Regions from separate parts of the Mus musculus genome. Here regions 2 and 3 are each reported to be linked to region 1. The links are microRNA targets in miRTarBase. Many come from high-throughput screens and were not tested one by one. Region 1 holds a microRNA gene; each other region holds the end of a gene's coding sequence.
What was found. Region 1 holds the annotated microRNA mmu-miR-3473a (UGGAGAGAUGGCUCAGCA, at 1,299-1,316, shown strand). A microRNA usually pairs through its seed, bases 2 to 8, with sites in the 3' UTR of a target mRNA and lowers its output. Matches are read on the target gene's strand: a 7mer-m8 pairs with bases 2 to 8, a 7mer-A1 pairs with bases 2 to 7 and ends in A, and an 8mer does both.

Region 1 (5,073 bases):
ATAAGTAAAAAAAAATTTGTGAGTCTTCCTTGACTTCTGCCTCCTCCACAGGAAAGCCTGGGCAATGGTCATTGAAATAACTGTACTCATGGAGTCAAAACTCCAGTTCTAGGAATTTCTTCTAAAGATATTATTTTATAAGCCAGCAAGATGTTTCAGTGGGTTAAGAAAATTCTTGACTTAGCCAGGAGAGAAACCCTGTCTCGAAAAAACAAAAACAACAACAAAAACAAAACAAACAAAAAAAACAAAGAAAATTCTTGACTCATACCTGAGTACAATCCTTTGAACCCTCATAAAATGGAGTAAGAACCAAATCCCCTATGTTGTCCTCTCACTTCTACATACAAACTGTGGCACAGGGGTGTGTGCCTCTACCTCCCCCCAACACACACAATAATGATAATAAATATATATTTTTTTAATTTAAAGTTCACTTTACAAAGGAATACAGACTCTCCTTTTTTAAAAAAAATAAGGTCTTATTCTGGAACTCAATGTGTAGCCCAGTCTGGTCTCAAATTCTAAGCAGTCCTCCAGTGTTAGCCTCCCAAGTGACAGATGTATGCCACTATACCCTGCTTTCAGAATTCTTTCAAAAAGTTAGAAACTACTAAAATGACTCTGGAAACAGGTCTGGTTTAGTAAGTTATGGTAAGTTAGTGCTCATTTAATATAGCCATTAGAGCTGGAAAGTTGTTCATGACCTTGAGTGAGAAAAGAAAGTCGGCTTTCATGCTTGTCATCCCAGCAGTCAGGAGGAGCAAGAGTTTAGGGTTATCCTCCAATAGAGGATGTAAGGCTAGTCTTTGCTATAGGAGACTGTTTTTAAAACAAAAACTTAGGACTGGAGAGTTGGTCAGTGGTTCAGAACACTGGGTTCTCTTTCAGAGGATTCAGATTTGATTCCCAACACCCACATGGCTGCTTACAACAATTCATAAGTTCTAGTCTCAGGCTCTGACACCCTGTTCTGACCTCTGTAGTTACTAGCCACACATGTTGTGCACAGGCATAGATGTTGGCAAAACACCCATACACATAAAAACCTACAAAAAAGAAAGAAAATATTTTTTTAAAAAGATTTATTTATTTTTTTATTATATGTAATAAGTACACTGTAGCTGTCTTCAGACACACCAGAAGAGGGAGTCAGATCTCGTTACAGATGGTTGTGAGCCACCATGTGGTTGCCGGGATTTGAACTCAGGACCTTCAGAAGAGCAGTCGGGTGCTCTTACCTGTTGAGCCATCTCACCAGCCCAGAAAATATTTTTAAAAAGTGAATTGTCTTAAGCTGGAGAGATGGCTCAGCAGTTAAGAGCACTGACTGCTCTTCCAGAGGTCCTGAGTTCAATTCTCAGCAACCACATGGTGGCTCACAGCCATCTGTAGTGGGATCCGATGTACTCTTCTACTGTGTGTCTGAAGACAGCTATAGTGTACTCAGATAAAAAAAAGAAATAACTTTTTTTTTAAAGTGAATTGCCTTATGTATCAAACAAGATATTTTTTAAAAAGTGGTAGCTATCACAATGTATGGACTGCCTGCCTTCCTACGTATGGCAAATCTTACCTGCTGGATTCTCTAAAGGCATAGAACTAACAGAATAGGGCTGAAGAGATGGCTCAGTGGTTAAGAACACTGACTGCTCTTCCGGAGGTCCTGAGTTCAAATCCCAGCAACCACATGGCTGGCTTACAACCAGTGTACTCCAATACGTTAAATAAATAAACCTTTAAAAAAACTGACAGAGCTGGGCGTGGTAGCGCACGCCTTTAGTCCCAGCACTTGGGAGGCAGAGGCAGGCAGATTTCTTCTGAGTTCGAGGCCAGCCTGGTCTACAAAGTGAGTTCCAGGACAGCCAGGGCTACACAGAGAAACCCTGTCTCAAAAACACCAAGGAAAAAAAAACTGACAGAGTAAATATGCATATTGAAAGTAGATGTATTAGCCTGGTTCAGATAGTTCAACAACTGTCTGAGTGTAAAGCTTGAAAATCTAGTAGTTATTTACTCCACAAGGCTGGATGTCTCTGCAATCCCTGTCTGGTGCTACAGTCCCAGAAGATTCCTGGATAGCTGCTAGTCTCAGTCTACATGGGAATCCTAAAGCAGTTTTATTTAATACCAGCTGCAGCAACAGAATAGATGAATTTGCCGTAGAGAGTAAGGACAAACAGGCAAAAAGAAGGTTTTTCTTGTGTCTTTATATGTGGGCTGCCAGTTTTAGGGTGGGTCTTTCTGCTTCAAATAGTCTGATTCATAAAATTGCTCACCGAAGTGCCTGCCAGCTTGGGTGTTAGTTGATTCCAGATGTTGTCATGTTGACAACCAAGATTTTTCATCACTAGCAGGGACACCACATATATTAGACATAGGGACCCAAGGGAGTGTTACATTGAACCATAAATTATCTGTAACTAGTAGGATTCTGTGTTGTATTGTGTTGTTTTACTTTGTTGAGGCTGGCCTTGAGCTCATTCTATAGTAGAGGCTGCTGGCCCTAAATTTCTAATCCTCCTTCCAGGTACAGAGATTACAGACATCAATACTATACCCAGATCTTCAATTCCATGCTTTTCTGAATGTTTTGCAGAGGTTCATGTTGCTGGTGATGGCTTTCTTTTTTTTGTTGCTTTGTTTCTGGTATTTATTTATTTATTTTCATTTTTGGTTTTTCGAGACAGGGTTTCTCTGTGTAGCCCTGGCTGTCCTGGAACTCACTCTGTAGACCAGGCTGGCCTCAAACTCAGAAATCCGTCTGCCTCTGCCTCCCAAGTGCTGGGATTAAAGGCGTGCGCCACCACTGCCTGGCCTGGTTTTTAATTTTTATTTTCCGTGTAGGGATGTTTTGCCTGCATGTCTGGATGCAATGCCTGAGGAAGCTGGAAGAAGTTGTCGGATCACCTAGAACTGCAGTTACAGACATTGGGAATTGCCCTGGGGGTGATTTTAGTGGGACCTGGGTCCTCCAGAAGAGCATCCAGTGCTCCTTAACCATTGAGCGATCACTTCAGCCCATATCCTCGCTTTCATTCCAAAGACCCTAGGGATTAAATTCAGATCATCAGGCATGGTGACAAACACCTTTACCCACTGAGTGATCTCACCAGCTTAGGTTTTGTCTTTTTGAGACAGTCTCATGTAACCCAGGCTGACTTCCAAACCTCTGTACAGACGATGCTGACTTTGAAGTCCTAATCCCCCTGGCCTCTACTGCCCAAGTGGTGGGACTACAGGCATGTTCCACACTGTGTTTTGGCCTTGAGTTAGAATGTTTCTAAACCTAAAGGTGTTTATATGATTATTACATGTTTATATGATTTTTAACTATGTTGTTTCAATCAACTGAGTGAACTGTCTGGCTTCCTGGGAGCCTCTGTCCAGGTGAGTGTTAGAAAAAAACATGAAAGGATGGATTGTTCTCCTATCTCATTTAAGTGGGCCAGTCAGTGACAGCTCAGTGGACTTTGTGACTGAAGACTGTTAAAATTCAGTATATCGATCCATGATACTTTGTCATAAAATGCAATTAAGACACCCCCTTTAATGGTTTTTGCCTCCATTTCTCATCACAGGACAAGAGGAATTTCCTCCGTGACCCACCAGCTGGTGTGCAGTTTAACTTTGACTTTGATCAGATGTACCCTGTTGCCCTGGTCATGCTCCAAGAGGATGAGCTACTAAGCAAGATGAGATTTGCCCTTGTTCCTAAACTGTAAGCACCATGTTTTCTAAAGAAACACTGCTCACTCCTGCAGTGGTAATTTCTATTTCACAGTAGTATAGTGATTTCACTTTCCTAAGGGCTCTAGTTATATGCATAATGTTAGGGAAGAGTCACTGAATGAAGGCCAGAACCCTCCCTACACTATCTGTTCATCCAAACAGGCCCTGCAGCCCTTCAGAGGCCCTGTGAGCTTGACTGCGTGCCCAGAATGGAAGGAGAGGGCAGACTTGGCAGGAAAGTCAGGTTGATATGTGCTCTTTTGCCCAGTTAAACAGTAGAACATGTTTCCATCAGAAACAACAAATAGACCCAAATCAAATCGGGTTTGTAAAGGCTTGCCTTTTCCCTGAACTCCCATGGCTTGTATTCATGCTCTGCGACAGCTGTGCTTGCTTGTTTTGTTTTGTTTTGTTTTGTTTTGTTTTGTTTTAAACCAAAGAAAGGCCCATCCCAATTCATAAAATCCCAGGTGCCCTTTAAGCTCCAAAGCAAGCAATATTCTGTGATGCTTTGTCACTGGTCTGCCAGCAGAGGGCAGTCTTCCCTGCTGCAGCGTCCCTGGGGCTTTGTGTCCCTCTGACTTTCCTGGAGGGTTTTTGTTGTGTTTGCAGTACTGGAAATTGAATTTAGGACTTGGCTCATGCCAAGCAATTGTTTTAGCATTGAAGTATAACCCTGGACCTCTTTTTGACTTTTTGACAGAGTCTTACTAGATTGCCTAGCTGGGCCTTGAAGTCACTGTGTATCCTCAGCAGGCCTTGAATTTTCAGTCCTGCTCAGGCTCCTACATGAGTGGGTTTACAGGCCTGAGCTCTCAAGCTTAGTCAGAGGGAAGGGGAAGAAGATGATGATGATTGTCATTGCTATTATTTTGTTTATATTTTTGAAGCCAGCTTTCAAAACAGAGCTTGGCTCAAGACTATAATTTTAGTACTTGGGAGGCAGAGGCAGGAGGGTTGTAAGAGGCCAGCCTAGGTCATAAGTGGGAGAGCCTGTTTCTAAACAAAGCCAAAGACAGGCCATGATGACTTGCACTTGTCATCCCAGTATTTAGAAAGTTGAGACACGAGAATCACTATGAGTTTGAGGACAGCTTGGGCTATACAGTGAAACCCTATCTAGAAAAAGTAAAATTAAAAAACAACGAAATCTGGTATTCTTTATTTTGTGAGTGTCCCCCTTCTAGAGTGTCCTTAATCCTTATTTCATGGTTGCAAAATTTTACCATTCCCCAAGGGTACAATTTATAGTTCTCTCAAATATCTTCTTTCTGTAAACTTTCCTCAGAAACTGGTTGGAGCTCTGCCTTCTGGGTTATGGGCTCCATTCCCTTGCCTTCT
Region 2 (5,073 bases), not on the chromosome of region 1:
CTTCCTGCCTCTTCCTGAAAACTGAAGACCAGCATAGGCAACCTGTGTTTTCCACTGGGAAACCAGCAGTCTGTCCCCACATATGACCACTAGCTAGCTCCATATCCTGAGCAGACCAAGAGTCAGTGTATACCAACCCTTCAAAACCCAGTCTGTATAAGAAACAGGAAGATGATATAACAAAGTGTTTTAGATGAAATGACCCTAAACCCCCATAGCATTCTAGAAATTTTGTCTCTTTTGTGCTGCTATCACACATGTCCCAGTAACTCTCTGCTCTGCTGTCCAGACTTCCTTTGTGCCTCCTCTGAATTTTCTCGGCACACCTTAAAACCTAAGATTTTTCTCAGTACACCTTAAAACCTAAGACCCACTTCCGCACCACCAGTTCCCCAAGTATCTTGGCTTGGAGCTAATTCACATCTTTATCAAAGGTCGTGGTCCGGCTGGGAGAGAGGTATTGAGTGAAAGTAGAAGGTGACCTTCAGAGCGGCAAGTGCTGTGGCACGGGCGCTGACAGCCCCAGTGGGCCCTGTCAGGAATAGACACAGCTCCCACATCTAGTGCTGTGCCTGGCTCCACAGGACTCCTCGGAGACTTACTCTGGCTGTTTGTCACTTGATGTAGGGGGAAGAAGAGCATATCTTTGAAAAATCAGAAGTCAACTTCTGGGCTGAGACTCTGACCTTCGTGAAATCCCTGTGTAGGCAACTCTTCCATCTCCTCTGTCAATCTGGCTGGCAGTCCCCTCACTCCCAGAAGCTCTGTCACTTGCAAAGGATAGCATCAGAGCAGAGTCACCTCATCTCTCAGCTCTTCAGAGAACTTCCACTCTCAGCTGAGTTTTTGAAGACAGTGGAATACACGAGGCTGCGCATTCAGGAGGAAAGGACTTTGGCTGTCCTGAGGCTGTTGGCCTGCCTGGAAGGAAAGGAGGGTCTCAGAGCCGAAGACTGCCCTAGGGAATGGAGACAAGTAATGGCCCCAAGAACAGAAGCAGCATGCTGAAGAAAGGTGGCTGGGCCTCAGCTCAGGTCTGCAAGACACATACATGGTGGACACCAATTGAAACTCTTTTCCTCAGGTGCCTCCCCACTTCTGGGAGTCTAGGCTTCTGTCCCTTCCTACTGAGGACCTTGTCTGCAGCACACTCATTCAAGGCAACCCAATTAGTTGCAGCTACCTAGGAAGTGAAGCTGCTGTCTGCAGGTTTACTGTCTCCAGGTGCAAGCCACCTGCAGGCCTGAACTAGTCAGTTCTATCCCAAAGCCAGCGCCCATTTCCCCATACACTGACTGCATTGAATTCAGTCTTAGCTTACATGTCTCTCTCTCTCTCCCTCTCTCTCTCTCTCTCTCTCTCTCACACACACACACACACACAGTGCTCTTTCTCTCTCTCTCACACACACACACACACACAGTGCTCTTTTGTTTGGTTTTGTTTAGCAAATACCTATTTGGTCATATTTATAAACTTTTATTCCATTTTAGTAAAGGGTATGTTTGATTCTGGGAATATTAAGAACCTACAACATGCAAATACTTGCATTTTACTATCTACCTGCCCAAGTCCTTCAGTGGTCCATATTAAGAGTCCCCACTGTCTTACCCAGAAATGCCTGCGAAGGCTAGGAACCCTTGTCACCCATCACTGGCCTCAGCTATTGGACAGAGCCTGGGGAAAGGGAAGCCTGAGCAAATGCTTAATTCATTCGGTGCCACCACTGTACACCGTCCTGTGATTGGTGGAGACAGCAGAGTGCCAAGAAACACATTTACCCACTTTAGGTGATTCCATATAGAAACCGGAAGGGTTTGTCACTTCAGGCCCAGCCCAGCTGGCATCCTCGAACACCAGCAGGTGGCGCTCTTGCACACATTATGCTGCTGGTCTAGCGCTTTTAGCCTACTCTTTTAAAACTTTTTAAAACTATTATCAGCACCTGTACATGATAGGAGGGCACCCATGCCCCAGCATGGATGTCTGAGGAAGTTGAGGGACAACTTTATAGAGCCAGCTCTCTCCTCCCGCCTCTGCATGGGCTTCAGAGATCGACTCAGGCTCAGGCTTGCAGAGCACGCACGTTTATCCACTGAGCCGCATCATGTGGCCCAGCTTACCATGCTACGTGTGCTTCCAGAGTACGTGACACCCGCAGACGCTTGCCTTCAATTCACGGCGTGGATGTGTTGCTGTAGTGTGATCCACATTCCCAGTTATCCACAAAGACCATGCCAGCCATAGAAGGAACTTGTAGGGCCTATAGCTATGTTCAGATACTTCTCAGTGAGTAGTCACTTAGAATCATGAGGAAAAGGGAGAGAGGCATTCTATATGCTAGCTCCTCCTGCAGAGACGCTGACATTTCACATGTAATTGGTCTCAGAAGAAAACCATCCTGCACCACAGAAACACGGCTGTGCTGGAGTAGAGACCTGTACGCAGGGAGAGGGAAGTCAGGAGCTGTGTCCTTCCTGGCCATGAAGAGGAACAGAAATCCCCTGGGTGGTCTTAGAAACACTCAGCACCCTGGGGTCTGTGTGGCCCTGTAGTAATTACCTAGTTAGGCAGTGCAACCCACTGCTGATGAAAAATTGAAAACCTAACATTGTTTAGTTTGTTTTGGGCTTTGCTTTTAGTTTTCTGAGTCAGGCTTGCTATTTACACTAGGCTGGCCTCAAACTTGTGTTAATCCTCCTGCCTTTGCCTCCTGAGTGCCAGGATTCCAGGCATACACCACTATACCCAGCATTACACTACTTTAAGATCTAGTTGGTGAGAGGGGCTGGTGGTGACAACCTTGGGAGATTAATTCTGAACAGGACCCAACCTTCCCTCTCCCCTTCCATCTAAAATGAAATAAAAGCAGTTACATGACAATAAAACCATCTCACATTGGCAGGCATGCTGTCCCAAAGCATGTTTCAGAGCAGGCTTATGTTATCTCCAAGTCCATCCTACCAAGTCTGCCATTAGCTGGGACTTACCCCAGACTTGGATCTTGGCTGGCTGTGGCCAATCTGGGAGGACAGGAGGGATGGATGGCTCCACAGGTGGGCTTGTATCTGCAATCCTGCTAGCAGTAGCTAGGGGAACGACTGCTGCATGCTTTCCTGAGAGAAACCAGGAAAACCTTAGTCACAGCCTCATGCTTACATTTGGGGTCCTTTCAGCCACAGAACCCAGCAGTAATAGGGGCAAGAGCAACGTGGGTGGGAAGAGTGAAGCAGCCATCTTCCCTAAGTCACTACACTTGAGGGTCCTAAGATCTGGGTGGCCCCTTGCTCAGACCACAGCCAAAAGCCAGTTTGCTTTAATATATAAGATGGTGAGGGCTTTGTTCCTTTATAGGGGTATGGTCTCACTCTCACACTAAGCTGTGCAAGGCTAGCCTAAAACTCACCACAGTTTGTGATTAGTGCTAGGACTATAGGCATGAACCACCGTACCCAACCCACTCAGCACTACGTCCAAGACACTACAGTCTTCTGGCAGCCATTGGCTCTACCTACAGGGGCAGCATGCACTGCAGTGTGGCCAAATGCACCTGGACTCAGGAGCCTTTGAGTGACAGATCTACCTCCTTAGCTTCAAGGTTAACTGATACAGCCCAAGTGCACACTGGACTGGGTCAACCAGACAGGAAGAGCAACATGGGAAGGATGTAGTTGGTCAAGCAGCCTTCTCTGGCAACTACTGGGCCTTCCACCCAGGGCAACCCGGACTGCCAGCTGGGTGAATTCATGGGCCCAACTCCAGCTTTTGGCAGCCAGTATGAAGTGTAGGGATAAAGGGTTCTGGACCTGACCAGATGGGCCTCACGGGGTGGGGGTGGGGGTCGCTAGGTGTGTGGAGGTGTGTGTGTGTGAGACCCCTCTCAAAAAGAGCCAGGGGCCTTCTGGGACTGCTTTTTCCATGGAAAGCTGGTAGGAGTTGCACTAAAGGCAACCGAATGAGGACCTCTTTCCCCCAACCTGGGTGGTGGTTCAGCAATCACCGCCTCGCCTCCGGCAGCTCACACAAAGCTTAGATTCAATGCCGCGCCTCCCACAGCAGAAGGAGGAAGGTTGCAGGATTCGACAGGCCAAGGCTGTACAGGCGGGAAGCCTTGGCTAGGAGCTGCACCCACATCCCCGAGAGGAGGCCAGGCCAACCAGCAGGCACAAAGGTGAAGGAAGTGACTTCCTCTATGTCCACACTGCTCCTCCGACTTCCCTCTAGTCCCCTGGAATAGGCTTTCCCGCCCCGGACACCCCGCGCCACTCGGCGCCTTTGGCCCAGGCTCAAGGTCTTGTGATGTGATTAGCAAAGCCAGCGCCTTGTCCTCAGACACTCGGCTCTGCCCCACAGGCCGCAGCGCTCAAGTCCTGTTTACTGAGCCTGGGCGGGGAGAGGGGCGGAGAAACGCGCCAATGCTCCTCCAGGCTGGCCGCTCCCGCCCCCACCCCTACTGCGTCTCCACGTGCAGCCGGGCCGGAGCTGCCACCTACGGGACAGGCCGCGACCCCCGTTCCTAGTCCCAAGCAACTTGGCCAAGCGCACCATTGCTGTTTTGCTGTTCCCGCGCGCGGAGCAAAAACTAGGATGGGAGATAAAAGCTGCGCCAGTCGGCCCAGCCGGATCGGGCGAGGAAAGGCACGTCCCGGGTAGCCCCGTCCTGGGCAGATAGAACGTGTACGTGCTTTCCAACGTTATACTCGTAGAGGCGGAGGAGAGCGAGGTATTCCCGCCGCCGCCACCCAGCAGGACCCAAGGGGGCCGCACGCCCCACGCCGCTCGGGACGCCCAGGCTGCCCGCCCCTCCCCTCCCCTCTCCTCCCCTCCCCCGAAGGGGAAAAATTGGCGGCGACCAATGAGAAGCCGAGAAGGAGCCTGACGTCCGCGGGCTGGCGGGCGGCGTTGCCTGGAGACCCCGGCCGGTCAGCGTTCAGTCCCCTCCCCCGGTGCGCTTTGCCCCGCCGCCGCGCCGCTCCGGGGCTGTATAAAGGGCGCACGCTCTCAGGTCTCCGAGTTCCACCAGTCCGCGAGCTGCCGACGGCTCGGGCGGGGGGCGGGCCGGGGCGCCGAGCT
Region 3 (5,073 bases), not on the chromosome of region 1:
GCAGTCCTTTGGAGGCAGCAGAAGGGGTGAGAGTTTTGTGCAGCTTCAAGGCTCCTTAAAATAACTTTCATTTCTCAGGTGGTCCCTTTCTCAGACAGAATGACACTCCCTGCACCCAAGACTATGCCTAGCTTCAGGCCATCTTGTTTTCCAGATATTAATGGCAACTTTCAATCCTCAAAAAAAAAAAAATTAATTAAAAACAATGTTAAAGCTGAAGATCTTGGTCTAGCTTTCTTTCTAGCTTTCTTTCTTTCTTTCTTTCTTTCTTTCTTTCTTTCTTTCCTTTTTTTTTTTTTAATTGAGGAGCAAGGCTCTTTGAAACCTTTTCACCCTTTTAGGTTACCCAAACACCTGTCTTTTTCAGGGGGTGGAGGGGAATCTCCTACAGCGTCTAGGCAGCTGAGATCTGGCTTCAGAGTTTGCAGGCCCCATAAGAGAGCCATTTACTGCTCTGAATTCTGCCTTCTACTCTAAAAGTCTATGCACCCCATTTCCTCAGACCTCCAATTTTGGTAATAAGTGCAGTGTGGGGAGGCCAGTATAAATTACCTTGTAGAGAATATTTGCTAAGCTGTAGTCCAGCCACTCCCCATTGGCTGGAGATCTAAAATCGGGCAGCTCTTTCCTTGATCGGCATTGAGATGGCAAGGGACTCTCAAGGGCTGGGTGCTCAGCCAGCCAACAGAAGACCCTTCATCCCCTCCCCAAACTTCCTCCATAGTAAGTAAAGCAGTTCCCTCAGCCGGATGCAGAGACCTGTTCCTTTTACAAACCCACCCATAAATTTTATAACAGGTAGTTAAAAATTACGACGAGGAAGCGGTGGCCCAGCTTTTCACAATGGCAGCGGGAAGAATGGGGCAGCACTGCCGGGTAACTCACCGGAAATTTTACTTCCAGATTGTGGCACACAACCTGTCCTGAATCCTCTTTAATTGGGGCTGGGGGTGACTTTTCAACTTTCAGACACTCTCTGGGGCATCTCATGCCAGGAATATGAAACTGGGGAAGCCAACCCACCCTCTCCTTCAAGGGGTCCCCTGGGAGCCCCTCAGCAACACACTTCTTCCCTTGGAGCCCCAGATTTCTCCAAGACCTGCATCTTCTTTGGACATTCAGTGAAACAGTAGAGGAGGAAAGTGCGAAGATTTTTTTTTTAATCCCGAGAAACGAATTTGCCCCCCAACTTAATAGCTGCATCATTCTGTCTTTACCGTTGAGATTAGAATAATAAATCCAAGGCGAAATGAGCGAGATGCTTCAACTCAGCATTTTGAAAGATACTATTTTTCACAAATCACAAATAGCTTTCGGAAGCCACTTTGATTGGCTAATAAAAAAAGTAAAGAATGGGAGAAAGTCGTATCTGCAGAAACGGAATGGTACCCATTTCGGTAATGGGACGACGGCAGCATTTAGGAGCAAGCATTTCTAAAGAGCGCATCCCGCTCTCGCAATTACATTCCCCCATAAAACGGGTTTTTAACCTCCTTTTCTTTCCAAACGAGAAAACTGAAGTGGTGAGCAGGGAAAGCGGGGAGTGGGTAACGCACAAGGGGACGCAGGGGCTCCTTAGGTCTAACCCTCTGGCTGCCCGACATTGCCAAAGAAGCCGGGCGCCAGACGCACCCCGCCCTCCGACGCGACGGCTTGGGGCCATGGACATTGCTGAGCAGGGGCAGGAATGAATGAGGGGTTGGTGTTGCGGGGTGTTGGGGGAGAAGCAGCAAGGCCCTTCGGAATTATTTGATAAGGGAGTCATACCGCTCTTCTTCAGGGCAGGATATTATTATTTTTATCAATAGCAATCATAATCTCATGATTAAAAAAATGAAACGGGTCTTCCTCTGTGGTTCCCACAGAGTCTGGTGGGAAGTGAAATGTTTTCAGACCTCCCTGGCCAACACCCCATGTCTCCCAAGCTAAATGTGATCACTTGGTTGCCAGCAGGGACCCCAAATTCTACAGATTTCCTGGCAGGTTCTACTTCAAGTTATCCCCAAGCTGTCCTTTCTGGTTCACAGGCAGTGTTGCGGGAGCCCTAGGAAAATCACTTGACAAATTTTGAGGCCTTTTTATAGGGGCCAGAGATTGGGACCCTGGTGAAACACTTGGCCTGGGCCTAGGTTAAAAAACATTGACCCAAAGATCTGGTTTCAAAAATATCTCTGTCTTTGGTGGTCTGTCTTTGAAGGCCAGAAGTCCACCCTCCCTCCCCTCTTCCTCTGGTCTGGTTGAGCCAGCCTCCTTGTATCTCTGGAATTTGGAATGGTTTGAGCAGAATTTTATTGGCATAAACAGATTTGTCTGCCTAGGACCCTCCAGAATGATCCCATTAGTAGCTGGGCTCTACTCTTTATTTTAGAAAATGTCAAGATTCCCTTTGCCCTACTGTGGCTGGGCTTGGGGACTGTCCACTCAGCAGGGCCATCCTCCCAAATCAGTAGTCCCAACTGTGGTGGCCAGGCAAGCTGCTCAATTGTCAGAGTGAAGCCAGCCAAGAGCTGGCTTGAAATGGCCAAAAAACGGAGGCTATGTGGACAGAAGAGGGCTGAGTAGCCATGACAGCCTTATGCTAGTTGAATTTGAATTCCAGGGTGCAGACTCTATCTTACTCATTTGTCCTTCCTTTATCCTCTGCCCCAGGCAGAAGCTTCTTCACCCTCACCACTACACTTTGGCATTTTCAAACCGAACTCTCCTGACTATGCAGCTACCTTTAACCGCATAATTTCCCAACCCCATCCACTATTTCAGTATGAGGTAGTGGATGCTAAGGAGTGGCCACAAGCGGGAGACATGTAAATATCAGAAAAGAACCCCCACCATCTCACCCTTGGCCTAAAACCCTGAAAGAAAGGGCATAGTCACAGGAAGAGCATAGGGCCAACTCTTTATATGGACCCAGCCCAGAGACCAGGAAGCTAAAGCATGAGTTCTGTCTTCCCACTTAGGTCCCAATACCTACAAACCTCATTGGTTATTAAGACTAGTGTAAGTAAGTAACCCTTCTTCCTTCTCCCTTCCAGATGTTCTCTTCACCTCCTCCTCCTCCTCCTCCTCCTCCTCCTCCTCCTCCTCCTCCTCCTCCTCCTCCCCCCACTAGCCACCTGCCCTACCTGCTATGCCTGCCCTCTCCACCCCACTTCCAAGTTCCACCACCCAAAGCAAGATCAGTGCGGGGCCTTTTGCAGAGCTGGGAAAGGGAATAAAGAGAGGGAGGAGTAGAAAATGGGGAAGAGTTATAGAGAAACAGCAAGTCATTCCAGCTCTACTTTTTAATTCTTTTTTTTTTATTATGACTCACGTATACAATACAAAGTACTTGGACCAGGAACAGAGCTTTCAGGACACAAAATCTACATTCATAGCTGGACATAAAGACAAATGACCAAAATTATTATTATAGATATATTTTAACGTTTTTTTTTCCTTTCGAGCACATTGCATAAACAGAGAATTCAAGACAGAGTAACTATACATTCAGTGCAGTTTAGTTCTACTCTACTGGGGTTAGAAGCACAATAAAAGCGCACAAGACCGGCGGGCTAGGCAGTCTCAGTTGTTGGGATTTTTTTTTTTCTTAGTGAAAGAAGCAGCAACAAACAACAACAAAACCGCATTACAAATACTCTCAAAGCAGGATTTCTTTCTATAGGTAGTGATAAAATACGCTGGAGGTTTCTTCCTTTTTTCTTTTTTTTCTTTTTTTTTCTTTTTTTTTTTCTCCCTCCTGTATTAGGAATTTTTCTTTCTTTTTTTTTTTTCCCCCAAGATTATTGCAGGTTCCCTTTAGGTAGTATGTTAAAGATTTATTATCAGTATATTATTTTCATGATTATGGTGACTTCTGAGCACAAACACTAACACAGCTCAGAGGAAGCCGGGGGCCCAAAAGATCAAACAGCAAAGGCAAGGCAAGGAAGGCATGGACCCAAGTGACTATGGGATGGATAGGTAGGATTTCAGAGACCATTGCCAGTTCTAATAGACCCCTCAGGAAGGAGGTGGGTAGAGAAACCCACATCTCCTTGATTTCCAGCAGATTCCTGGAGAAAGTCAAGGGGGTTTTTCTAAGGAAAGAGCCTCAGAGGGGGAGGGGAATCTTCTTTGCTATCTTTTATTTCTTTTTAATTTTTCCTTTCATTTCCCCCTTTCCTGTTTTTTTCCTTCTTTCTTTTCATTAAAAAAAAACTGTTTATCCAGTATTCTAATTCCCAGCATACAAGCAAAGCCAGGAATCATCTTCTATATCTTCAGGGGAATCCCTTTTAAAATAAATACCAGAGAAGCACCGTGAAGAGGGAGTGTGGAGAGAAGTGTGTGTGTGTGTGTGTGTGTGTGTGTGTGTGTGTGTGTGTGTGTGTGTGTGAAGGGTTAGACTTTATGGGGAAGGGCTCAGAAGGTGGGAGCAGGAACAAGAGAGTGTATGCTGGGCATGGAGTAGAACAGAACTTTTCCCTGTGTCTCAGGTTCCCCCTCCCAACCCCCAGACAAATAAAGAGTGGGGGAAGCCCAAAGGTAATAAAAGCAGAGCTGCAACTATCTGACAGGTAGTTAGAGTTGTGAGTGTCATTCTATTCTCTATAAAAGCAAATGACAGTCGTAAACTTCTCAATTTATCTGCTACCATAAAACGAAACTTCAAGGGAGTTGCTGGGGGGGGGGCTGATTTTCTCTCTCTTTTTTTCCTTAGTCCTTATTTTCTTCCTTTTCCTCCTCCTCTTTCTCCTCTTCCTCATTCCCTTCTTCTTCCACCTTCTCCTCATCTCGGGCCCCAGGCAGTTTATCCTTGTTGTTCTCCTTTTTCCACTTCATCCTTCGATTCTGGAACCAAATCTTCACTTGTCTTTCTGTCAGTCCCAGGGCGTGAGAGACTTCAATCCGGCGCTTTCTGGTCAAATAAGGATTAAAGAGAAACTCCTTCTCTAGTTCCAAGGTCTGATACCGGCTGTAAGTTTGTCGACCGCTGCGCCGCCCAGGAGCTGAACAGAACAGAACCCCAGTCTGGTTATGTCTGGGTGGGGGCTCCGCCCCCCAACACAGCCCCACAAACTTCCCTCTCTGCTA

Region 2: miRTarBase lists Thada as a target of mmu-miR-3473a. Seed matches in the 3' UTR shown: 7mer-m8 at 1,333-1,339 and 7mer-m8 at 2,022-2,028.
Region 3: the mRNA of Hoxc8 is a reported target of mmu-miR-3473a. Seed matches in the 3' UTR shown: 8mer at 4,314-4,321.

The regions. Positions count from the first base shown.
Region 1 is chrX:162,871,163-162,876,235 of GRCm38, reverse strand. It overlaps Mir3473a (microRNA 3473a), which reads left to right and starts at 1,241; the gene lies at 1,241-1,318. Syap1 (synapse associated protein 1) reads left to right here. Exons shown (of 9, transcript NM_025932.2): 5 at 3,582-3,721.
Region 2 is chr17:84,187,886-84,192,958 of GRCm38, reverse strand. It overlaps Thada (thyroid adenoma associated), which reads left to right. Exons shown (of 38, transcript NM_183021.3): 38 at 628-2,903. The coding sequence ends at 1,008. It overlaps Zfp36l2 (zinc finger protein 36, C3H type-like 2), which reads left to right and starts at 5,012. Exons shown (of 2, transcript NM_001001806.2): 1 at 5,012-5,073. It overlaps Gm36279 (a long non-coding RNA gene), which reads right to left and starts at 771. Exons shown (of 4, transcript XR_385852.4): 1 at 687-771.
Region 3 is chr15:102,992,478-102,997,550 of GRCm38, reverse strand. It overlaps Hoxc8 (homeobox C8), which reads right to left. Exons shown (of 2, transcript NM_010466.2): 2 at 3,297-4,988. The coding sequence ends at 4,696. It overlaps Gm29905 (a long non-coding RNA gene), which reads left to right. Exons shown (of 2, transcript XR_384486.2): 2 at 1-219. Among named protein-coding and RNA genes, the nearest start is that of Gm29905, 3.2 kb to the left of the region's middle.